Linked DNA regions of Coturnix japonica. The protein of the gene in region 2 purifies or fractionates together with the protein of the main gene of each other region. This does not show direct contact. Links are inferred from orthologs where the notes say so. Each region holds a gene or a part of one and is shown on either strand. Other genes may lie near its edges.

The links.
Region 1: the proteins of L3MBTL3 (region 2) and SAMD13 purify together in Homo sapiens (affinity purification with mass spectrometry; 3 studies listed by BioGRID and IntAct, counting the BioPlex papers as one, with this or other methods). This does not show direct contact. The link is inferred for Coturnix japonica from reciprocal best matches to the Homo sapiens genes L3MBTL3 and SAMD13.

Annotation. Positions count from the first base shown.
Region 1 is NC_029523.1:14,552,443-14,557,736, reverse strand, and holds the start of SAMD13 (sterile alpha motif domain-containing protein 13), read left to right. Parts: upstream 1-1,329; 5' UTR 1,330-1,484; intron 1,485-1,539; exon of another isoform or gene 1,540-1,777; intron 1,778-2,102; exon of another isoform or gene 2,103-2,240; intron 2,241-2,707; 5' UTR 2,708-2,731; coding exon 2,732-2,784; intron 2,785-5,294.
Region 2 is NC_029518.1:52,473,433-52,478,634, reverse strand, and holds the end of L3MBTL3 (lethal(3)malignant brain tumor-like protein 3), read left to right. Parts: intron 1-1,782; coding exon 1,783-1,926; coding exon of another isoform or gene 1,927-2,011; 3' UTR 2,012-3,643; downstream 3,644-5,202. UniProt on the Homo sapiens protein: Is a negative regulator of Notch target genes expression, required for RBPJ-mediated transcriptional repression. It recruits KDM1A to Notch-responsive elements and promotes KDM1A-mediated H3K4me demethylation.

The DNA of each region.
Region 1 (5,294 bases), on a different chromosome or scaffold from region 2:
CACCTTACCCTAAGGAGCGAAAATGCAAGCTGCAGATCATACTCTGCACTGAATTCTTCCACAGCCTGTTTTCTCAGACTTCCTCTCTTTGCTGCTCAAGGTCTTTTATGCTGTGTGCCTTGAGCCAAATGCTCCAAAGACTAATTGAGAACATGATGGAAGGCACGGGAGAGCGAGAGAAAAGAGCTGGTCTATATTTGTAGCTTCAAATGTCAGTTCATTACCAAAGTCAGAAAACAGCTGATGCAGAAAACTTGTTACGGCCTCTTTTAGAGTGCTTGTTTCTCAAGAGACAAAAAGAACTGCCTTCTGTGACTTGTCCAATGCAGATATGTCGTGTTTTACCGTATGCACTGAGATTTGAGGTAAAGAGGGTTTTCTTTAGGGTGCAGAATGTTTAATACTTTGTTTGACTTGTTTCTCTGTGTTTAAAATCTGAAGCAGTGAGGACTTGCACTGCTGTTAGTTTTCAGCACTGTCATCAATAGTCATCACGTTATTTGTGTAGCTTTCGTATGCTTTGGTTATTCGTTTGGTTAAGGCATAATGAAATGCTCAGCGGGGACTATATCTACTGGCCCATGGGCTCAGTTGTGCCCTTCTTGCCATTACTGTGCTGTATCTGGTTTGCTGTTTTGGGGCTTGGATCCCTGACTGCAAACACAGGGTGCACTCAGCTGCTTCTGGCGGTGATGCCAAAATGATTTCCATACTGCTACCAAATTGGTGCTGTTAGGAGTGGTGAGACAGTTGCTGGGATATTGTACAGGGGGGGGTCTGCCAAGTCTTAGTAGGGCAAGGTAGGAGCAGGTGTTATGTTACTCCCAGTGGGCCAGGTCTGTCTTTTGTACATCACAGCACTGCAAACCTTGCAGGGTCTCACATGTGTCCCAGCGCAGCACACTGTGTGGTGCTCGGGGCAGGTGTGAGCAGGGCCTCAGGTCCCCGAGATGCCGTTTCTGGTTTCAGAGGCAGCTCAGCGCTCGCTGCCCACTCACGTACTGACAAACTCACTTCAGAAGTAGTTGGATACAACTTCTCCAATTCTGCAACGCCTGGTTGTTCCTATTTCCCTCCTGTTTCCCGAGGCTCTTTTCCAAAGCTATCTACGGAGTTGTTCGTCGCCTCCACCACCCGCTCCATCGGCACACCCCGGCACACCCTTGTGAGTAGGAGGAGTGGAAGCGGCCGCAGGAGCCCGATGCCCCTCGCCTGCGGCCCCGAGGAGGCAGGCGGGCATTCAGCCAGCCGGCCCCCTCCCGCAGGTAGGAGCGGCGCCTTTAAATCGTCCGCCATGACTCGGGCGGAGGTTGGTGGGGGCCGTGTGTGGCGGCGGCGTCACTCGGGCCGGGAGCCAGGCGGGGCCGCTGCCCGCTGCCGTACGGAGCCGCCTCCGAGCGCCCCGCTGCCGGCGGGGGGCTGGCGGCAGGGGCTCCGCCGCGCCGGAGCATCGCGTAGCCATGCTTCGGTTTAGTTGCCCGTAGGTAGGTCCGTCTGTCTTTGCTTCCCCCGCCCCTTCCCCCCCGGACGAAAAAATAATGACAATGTGGTGCCACGCTGCCTGCCGGAGATGCCCGTAAGATGGTGCACGCGTGTCACGCAGCGCCCGCCGGGAGCCCCCCAGGTGCGGGCGGGGTCGCGGTAGCTCCGTCCCGGCGGCTGTCAGTGCCCTCACCTGGGCTGCGCCGAGCGGCGGCCGCGGGCAGCGCCGAGTGCTCCGGGCTCAGCGTGGAAGGAGCATCCACACCCGCCAGTTTGGTGCTGCTCCCTGCTGCTGGTAACTGCCTAATAAAGGGTTCCTTTCTTTCCTTTTATTTTATGTAAGCAGCGGCGTTAATCGCTATCGTTTGCTTTTGCAAAGTTTAAGCTGAAGAGCGCGATTTCCCTGTTCCGTACTTCCCCGAGCTCTGAGTCGTACCGCCGGCGTCCATTAACGCTACAGCGGGAACATCCCGAGCCCGTGGGTAGTTACGGTGCTCCCCGACATAGAAATGCCTTTGAGAGCAGGAGGAGGAGGCTGGGCTGCTCTCTGTGCCTTCCCTGGGGCGGTGAGAGCGGCCAGCGGGCTGGCTTTCCTCCCGTGTCCTTTGTACGGTCCTTTCCCCCTCCGAGCTCAGTGTGCATAGAGGAAGCATTGCGAAGCACAGGAAGGATGGGCTGACGGAGAAGGTGCACAATTAGGCCTCAGGAGTTTTGGACTCGATCAGTGACTCGGCTTTGCCAGCTGGTTTGTGACTGAGGTAGAAATTGTATTTCTCATCGGTGTTTCAGATCCCCTTTTGTAAAACAAGGGCGTAGGTTTCCAAGCCTTGCTAGGAGTAATGCTTCTGCTTGGGATCCTCAGTACAGCAGGGTGACTGAAGGCACTGTGAGCACGCTTGGTATCCAACCGTAGACATATTGCAGGCTGGTTTTTCTCTACGTAGCTTAGATCAAAATTGTTTCAGTTTAAAAAAGGATCGTATGTGATGCTTTGTGTCTTAAAATCAAGAAAGGTGCTATTTCCTGTGTTCAAAGCACAAGCAAACTTTTCCTAATGCGTTAGTTATTACTGGCTTTACCAAGGCTCTGACGGAAGTGGTCTTCTGCAGTGCTTTTGCTCTCAGGTGGAAACAGTTGCATCTGTATAGAATACTTGTTTCTGTTGTGTTACGTTGTTCTTTTCGTACCACCAGTAACTAAACACAGCTTTTTTTCCTGTTAATAGCTGCTGAGGAAACCTCTCTTCTCCATGCTAACTGTTGACATGGAAAACAAGGAAAATGGTTCTCTGGATGTCAAAAAGTAAGTGATTCTTTGGAGTTCGGGTTATGTAAACAGCATGTGAATTTTGATGGTATTTTTCCATTGACTTAATATGGTTGGCAGGGGTGGGGACCTCCATCTTTGCTTATTTCTACCAATCTGTGTTCTCAATTAGTTTTATTGCATTTCTTCTTTGAAATGAAAGAATCTAGGGCACTGAAGTGATTTAAAGTGGCATGCAGGATAGTACAGCAATGGAGAAGAGCAGAAGCTAACAAGTTGGTAGTATTCATTTTTCTGTTGTTTTCTTATCTTAGCTAGTGACCAAAGCAAGTGGTAGCACAGCAACTGATGCTCTGCCCATGTTCATCTGTCTGCTGTTGTGGGGAAAGCTCCTCTCACCATCCACTTTGACTGACAAGGTGAAACTTCTAAGGAAGGACTTGCAAAAGTCAAAGCAGCAAATGGTGCCTAATGTGTCTGTCTGTGTGCTTTCTAGAACCAGTGTCTGATGGGGAGAAGTGTCCCATGTAAATGTCTCCTGCTATTCTTTTTGGAGGTGATGTATGCATCTCCCTGCTGACTGCCCAGCCATCCTGAGCTGAGAAGCAGCACGTGTCCCTTCTGAAGCAAATATTTTAAGCTTTTTGCTGAGGAAGCCCTAAACAGACCTTCAGACCTATGGTGGGAATAAGGGAAAGAAAGACATGATGTGCTCTGCTCTGCCGTTTTCTGCAATTTGGTGCGCTGCAGGCTAAAGAATAGGAACTGTTTTAGAAGCATTTGCTTATCCTTGAAGGTCATCAGTTCTTCAGTTGGGATTGCTACTCCTCATCTTACTGTCTGAAGAGTGAAGTTTTGTGTGGAAAAACAGCTATATTGTATTAGGCCTATAGATGCTCTGTTGATAAGTAACAAAGGGAAAGGAACTAGAAAGAGTTTATCACCTGTCCTCTTGGACTGCAGCAATTCTATGAAGCTGCACCTCATTCTTGTCCTTCAGATCTCTTTGCCACGAGTTGTCCATGAAAATATGACAATGGTTAGGCTCCCTATCACCAAGTAATATAAATAATAATAATGGATACTGTTGAAACTCATGATTATGACACAGCATTAAAAGATCTGCTGGTAGCCAATGAAGTATGCATCTTCCCCATTAACTTGGGACTCCGGCTCTACCACATCAATATAAAAAGCATTTCCCTGCTTAGTGACCATGCATAGATTATGCCTCTCAGATGCCACCTTTAGTTTTCTTCTGCACCTGATACTCCATGGCAGATGCAAGAAGAGAAGCAGTCAGAACAAGGACAGCTTACATTTAATCATTTTCCCTCAAGACTTAGGTGATAAAGACCCAATTACTAATTGCAATAGTGGCTTTTTAAAACTGGTAGTGATTATAATTAAACAGAGCATAAGCTGTGGTTTCTAAAGAAAAGTACATAGTATGTATGTGTGCCTGTCTACTAAGGAAGTATTTGGCACTTTCTTGAAGTGGTTATAAATAGCTTGGATAAAATCTGTTTGTTCACAGTTATATTCTTCCAGGCCTTGCTGCTTTGGCCACATGATGGCAATAAAGGTACAGGGATGGTGGCAAACAGAAGACGAGTCAAATCTTTATTCATTGTTAGTACACCTAGTATCTGATTATAAAACCGAACGTACTTGCTCTCTTAAGGTTTTAGGGAATCCAGGATGTCTGGTATAAACTGGTATATGGCTAAACTGTGGCTCTTATATATTCCCTTTTCTTGTCTAAAGAATAGAGCCGTGTGCAACAGCAGGGTGAGGACAAGGCTGTCTAGAAGCCAAATGAGCATCTGTGTGGATAGATGATTTAAAATCCAGCCAGCCCCTGACAGTATGCCACATGCCTGTGAGTTTTCTGCAGCTGTAGCTGTAGAAATTGGCTTTGCTTGAGGTCTGACATGATGCTATTCCTTGAGGTAGGAACTTGCCGTTATTCCTGGGGTTAGGAATGACTAAGGTGGGGCTCTTGAAGGCATTGCAGTTGGGCATAGGGTGGGACTAGACCAAGTGCTGTGTTCCCTGCAGTAAAAGAGCTGTATGAAAAACTGATACACTTGGGCTGAAGTACGTTGTGGGTGGATCACAGTCAACTCAAAAAGAAAATGCTTTTGGAAGTAAGCAAAATACAGTTAGGTATTTTGACAGATTGAGTCTTTCATTTACTTTTTAGGAATAATAAAATTGTTCTTTGAGAATTTTTTTATTTTTTAAATAAATACTGGGTTTTTGGGGTTTAGTTTGTTTATTTTTAATTATTGGTTGAAGATGTGTCATTGCAGGTGTCTGGGGGGGAAAATCCAAAGATATAATTCTTCAAATCTTGGTTCTACAAATACACATAGGTTTTGTATGGTGCTTTCCACAGCATTGTATTTCTTAAGCCTCAGAATGTGCACAGCACCAAAAACAGAAAACAAACAAAAAAAAAAATCACCAAACCTTCAGGTGCAGCTCTGATAAGTTGGATAGTCTTGTTTAACATTTTGCTGAGTGTTGCCTTTCTCTGCAAT
Region 2 (5,202 bases):
AAGATAAAACTAAGTGTCAACTAGGTCTTATCACACTTAATGCATTTCAAGAAGGCTAATTGATCACAGATTGCCAGTGTGAATAGTTCAGGTGCTTATCCTTACCAGGCCATATGAATGTGCAAAGTATGATGCTGTATTATCCCATGTTGTCATCCCTTGCAAGTGGAGAATAACTGTGGTACTTAAACTTGAGAAGGTAAATGCACCTCCTGAGCATGGCCCTGCTAATTCTGGGACAGAAGTTTCCAGGTTGCAATGTAGATTTTAATCTAAGGACCGACAGTCTCTGGGCGTTTTGCACTTGCTTAGATTTTAGGCATTTTACAATTGTATCTGCTATGCAGACCGAGTTCATCCTGCATCACTTAGGAGGACTCTCCAAGAGATTTAAAAATCAATAACAGCTGGTGCACTGCTGATTGAATCAACAGATTGGGAGTGCCACAGAGATGGATAAATACTAAATACTTTTGTTTTCAGAGGTATAAGAAAATTCTTGCCTCCCATAGGGGAGCAAGCTCCATCTGTCTGTGCAGGACCATTCTCTGCCAATGGTGCCAACCGGAGTGGACTGGCTGGCATCTGTACAGTTCACAGAGAAATAATACCCTGTCTACTAATTCTAATTGGCATACAGGCATGAATGATGTTCATTCTGGAATACTCTATCAAGCTTACAACTGAAGGTCTTTCAGTAGGTAGAAGGTGTTGGTTCAGACTTCTGCTGTGGAGATGAACCCCCATCCTTATGTTATGAAGCTGCAAAAAGCCAGGCACCCCTATACTGCAGTGCTTCTGGTTCTGAGCCCATCCAGTCTGGCTTTGTAAATAAAGTGAGTTGACAGTAACCTCAATAACCATGTGGTGCTGATCTCACTGCAGTGCTTCTCAGCTTGCAGTGCTGCAGTGGTCTGCCTTAACAGCACGTCTGATTCAGAAAGCTCATGTCCTGGTTTCACAGGAAATTAATTACACTAGTTCTATCTCAAGTCGGTATCTCTAAGTCTAAGCAATGCTCCCAGTTTAAACACAATTGACTTTTAGGCTTAGCTGTCCTGTTCACACTGAGAAGTTGCTGCAGATAGCAAAGATACTGAAGTTTACCAATAAGTATTTGCCCCAGTTTGCTCTGGAATGTGAGGGCTTTGGCTCTTCATGGTCAGATTTAGAATCCTGGTGACAGAATGATTTGCTTACAGTAGAATATTTGTTTGTAAATTTTATTAAAGAAAGAAACACAACAAGAGAAAAAAGGTGTTTTTTCAAAAGGCATTTGTATCAGAGGCAGTTTTACCTAGTCCAACCCGTGTTTACATTTGGGGCATTCATTTTAATTTCCTATTGAATGGACAGAGAAAAGTGGCCTGAAGAGGGTTCTAGTTTTCTAGCTAGGAGTGAAATCTGGAGACTTGCTTATGAAGGCTTGCATACAAGGAAAAGCTAAAATGGCAAAATTAGTTACTATGTTGCAGCACTGTTGAATTCGACTTCATTTTACATTTTAGTAGCTTTTTTTTAATACAGTCAGTATGAAAAAAAAAAACACGGGCTAGCTACAAATTAGCCAGACAGTTGTTTTCAAGCAGAAAGATCATTATCCTGTTCTCTTGGACTAATCTGTCTAAAAAGTTTATAGCAAAGCTATCCTGGAGTTTGAAAGCATTTGTATTCAACCATTCTTTTTAGATTGTCAGGTAATTTTCTCTTTATGTTTTCTGAACCATCTATACTGCTTCACTGTCAGACCTATTAATAGCTTTGTGTGTTTTTCTTTTAAAGCAAATTGATGGAGAAGCATTTCTGCTAATGACCCAATCAGACATAGTCAAAATAATGAGCATTAAACTGGGACCAGCCCTAAAAATCTTTAATTCCATTCTGATGTTCAAAGCTGCAGAGAAAAACTCACACAATGAACTCTGAAGATAACGGAAAATGTGTACAAGCCAGCTTCCTCCACTGGAGCTCATGTTTTATTCAAAGCACAAAGACTCACCAGAATTATTGAGTAAGGACTCTCAGAAAGGAAGAAAACTATGTTCTGCACTGGTGGACTGTTCATATTCTCCTAGAGCCGGTATACATCTGAATCCTTCTGGGAAGTGCTCACGCTTTTGAGAAGGTACTTTTTAACAACCAAGTCAGCTAGTCCTATTTACCAAACTAATGGCGCTAATTCTCCATGGAGGGTTAGGATCTCTAACACTCTCTGGACATCAAGAAAAAACCTTCATTGATTATTTATGCTGTATTATATAAGGGAACATTAATATTTTCTAAGAATTCCTGAATTCTGCTTCGTGTACCCATTTTACTTTTTGGTAGCTATTATTTCTTACCATCGAAATAAAAAATGATTAGCCAAAAATTAGGCTATGGGCCAGATGAGACTGTTATGGCTAATACAAATTTGTGCCATAGTTTAAAGATGAAACCGTTAATGTTACATATGTGACACTTTATGCTACAGCATATAACTTTACAGATTATAAAGCTGTCTGTTTGCTTGTAACAAACCAAACCTTGTTGGGGTTGAAATTACAATGCTTTTTTGATAACTGAATGTTTTTACTTTTGCACGATTACAAAAATGTTATGTGAGTTTTTCCACCAGCATCTTTAATGTATTTTACCAAAAGATCAGTATAGAGAAGGCTGCAACTGAAAAATACAGTTTGACTTCATAGAAGACATTCATTTATGCTGCACAATAGAGCCCCAGCCTTTTACATGGGAGCCTGCTTACAGTCCTTCCACACATGAAGGAAAATACATGTATTTTGGGGTAAGATTATTAGCAGAAAAAGAAAATATATTTATTCATGGCTGCACATGATAGTCTCCAGTATACATACCAAAGCAGTGGAGATAAACAGTGTGCTAAAGCTAGGACTGCTACTCTGGCTTCATATTCAACGTAAGCTTGTATTCCTAATGGTGGGAGAATTATTTAACCAACCACTTCCTAGCTGAAAAATCTGATTTATAAAGGAATTAAGCATAGTAGGAAAGCCCAAGCATGGAGGGAAAAGCTACTTAAACACCTATCCTGTATAGGCATGAACTAGGTAAAAGGCATGGGTTTCAACAAGTCATTAGCAAGGCTGCAGATTCCACTAGCAGGTACTTGGAGGCTTATTATGTCAGGGAAATTTGTTGCACTTGGTATATATACACATAAGATGTAAACCGGATGCACTTTACACTGGAGAAAGCCTAGCTACTAATATACCAGAATTTTGCTTTTACAAGAAGAGAGAGAAGAGTTGGATCAAGCTTTTGGCAGCCCTCATCTTAGTACTGAGGTGGGCAGTTGCTCAGTAAGAACAGTTTTTCCGTTGTACAGAACTTGGAGAATTTAAAATCTTCCCACAGATTTCGCTAGGCTGTTCTTTGGCTGAAGTTCCTTAAGATTTCAAGAGCCCTTTGTGCCCCTTCCAGATCACACTGGTGACTGGTACCTGCCCCATAGTATGAGGTAAAACAGGGTCAGTATGAAGTAAGTTGCATTGCTCTATTAATTTCCTTCCATAGCATTGCATAAATAATATTTTTTACATTTTGTTCAATATTTGTACAGTCAAATTGCACTCTTATTGTACTACAATACAAATAAAACCTGAATTGGACCTGTCTGTTACATTCATGTATGCCCAGGATTCTCAAATTAAGCTGGATGTTCCAGAGGGTGGTGCGGAGTAGTTCTTCACTGTATTTCATTGTGCTTGTGCATCTGAAAGAGCAACTCAGCTACTGCAAGCTGACCTCACCCAAAACATTTCCTAGATCCATAAACTTGAATTTTGTCATTGACCACAGCTGACATGGAACGGAAGATGCTACATTCTATAGTTTTCCTTCCATGTACTTCCTTGAACTCTCACTTTCGGTGTGTGTTTTTCTCTCATGTGCCAGCTTTGAAGCCTTCAGGGAATACCAATGTTTTGCCACTTGACAGAAATCACTTAGGAACATTAGCAACTACCTGAATTCTTATATTCCTACTTATAGGGTACTGTAGTTTAATGAAATGGTTTGGTTAAATGAAATGGTCTGGTTAATTCTCTCTACGAGATGTAGAAAACTTCATTTGAATGAAGCTCTCTTTACTTAGCAAGAGCATAATCACTTCATTCACTTTTGTATGATATGTGACAAGGTAATAGGGCAAACTCTGTTACAAAGCACCCAACAAAAGCAGTAGGACACGAAAAATACTCCAACATAGTTGATCTTTGAAATGATAATTGCAGTTGTGTTGGAGATGACCCAGCAGTTACATGGCTAAGGATATCCCAGTTTCCACGAGAGGCAAGTGAGAATCCTGAAACTTCTTTCTATGAGAGTCAGGTCATTTATTGCAGTATTCTCCCCTCATACTGCACTATACCACTGTAATCTCTGAATTGGACTCACCCTTGTGCAAGCAGTGCTTAAGAAAATCCCTGCAGCTTCCTAAGCCACATTTTTGAGTGTGGAGAATACTGGTGAATGCAGATACTGCTTCGACTACATCAACACTTCTAGAAATGGTGAAAAATGAAACTCTTTAGCAGAATGTTTTGGTTTGGTTTGATTTAGTTTTGGTTTTAAAAAAAGCTATTTACCATCCTGTATATACTAACTCATGCCGTGGTCAAGCTTGCTGGCAGCTGCTGTTGTCCATCCAAAGCTATCCACTATATCAGGATTTTCAGGGGTGCAAGGCACTTAAGGAATTAAGAAGGCTATGGTAGGGAGTAAAGAAGACTGTGGAAGAAGAGAGTAGGGCTCCATTTTGTGCGGGCAGACAGGACACATACCATGTGGAGAAGACTGATCTGTTCTGGGGAATAAGCTCAGATAGAAAATGAGGCATTTGTTTCCGAGCACAAAAGCTGTTGTTACAAATGCATATGACAGCATCCCAGAAAGTCATTCTTGCTACTTTGAGAACTGATCTCAGAATCCTCATTTGGCAAATTTTGGATTAATGTTAAAAGAAAGAAGAAAACATATCATGCATTGGCTAAAGAATGAAAACTCATCATCTTCAGTGTTTTAAAGCAAAGAAATACATTCAAGCACTTTCAATGATCACATGAAGATAACATAGTAAGAGAGGTAACAAATCTTTAATTTGTGTAAATTCAGAACACTAAGTGCTCACATTCACTCATAAGTACTTTTTAATTCTGATGGTAAAAATACTGTCTTAAT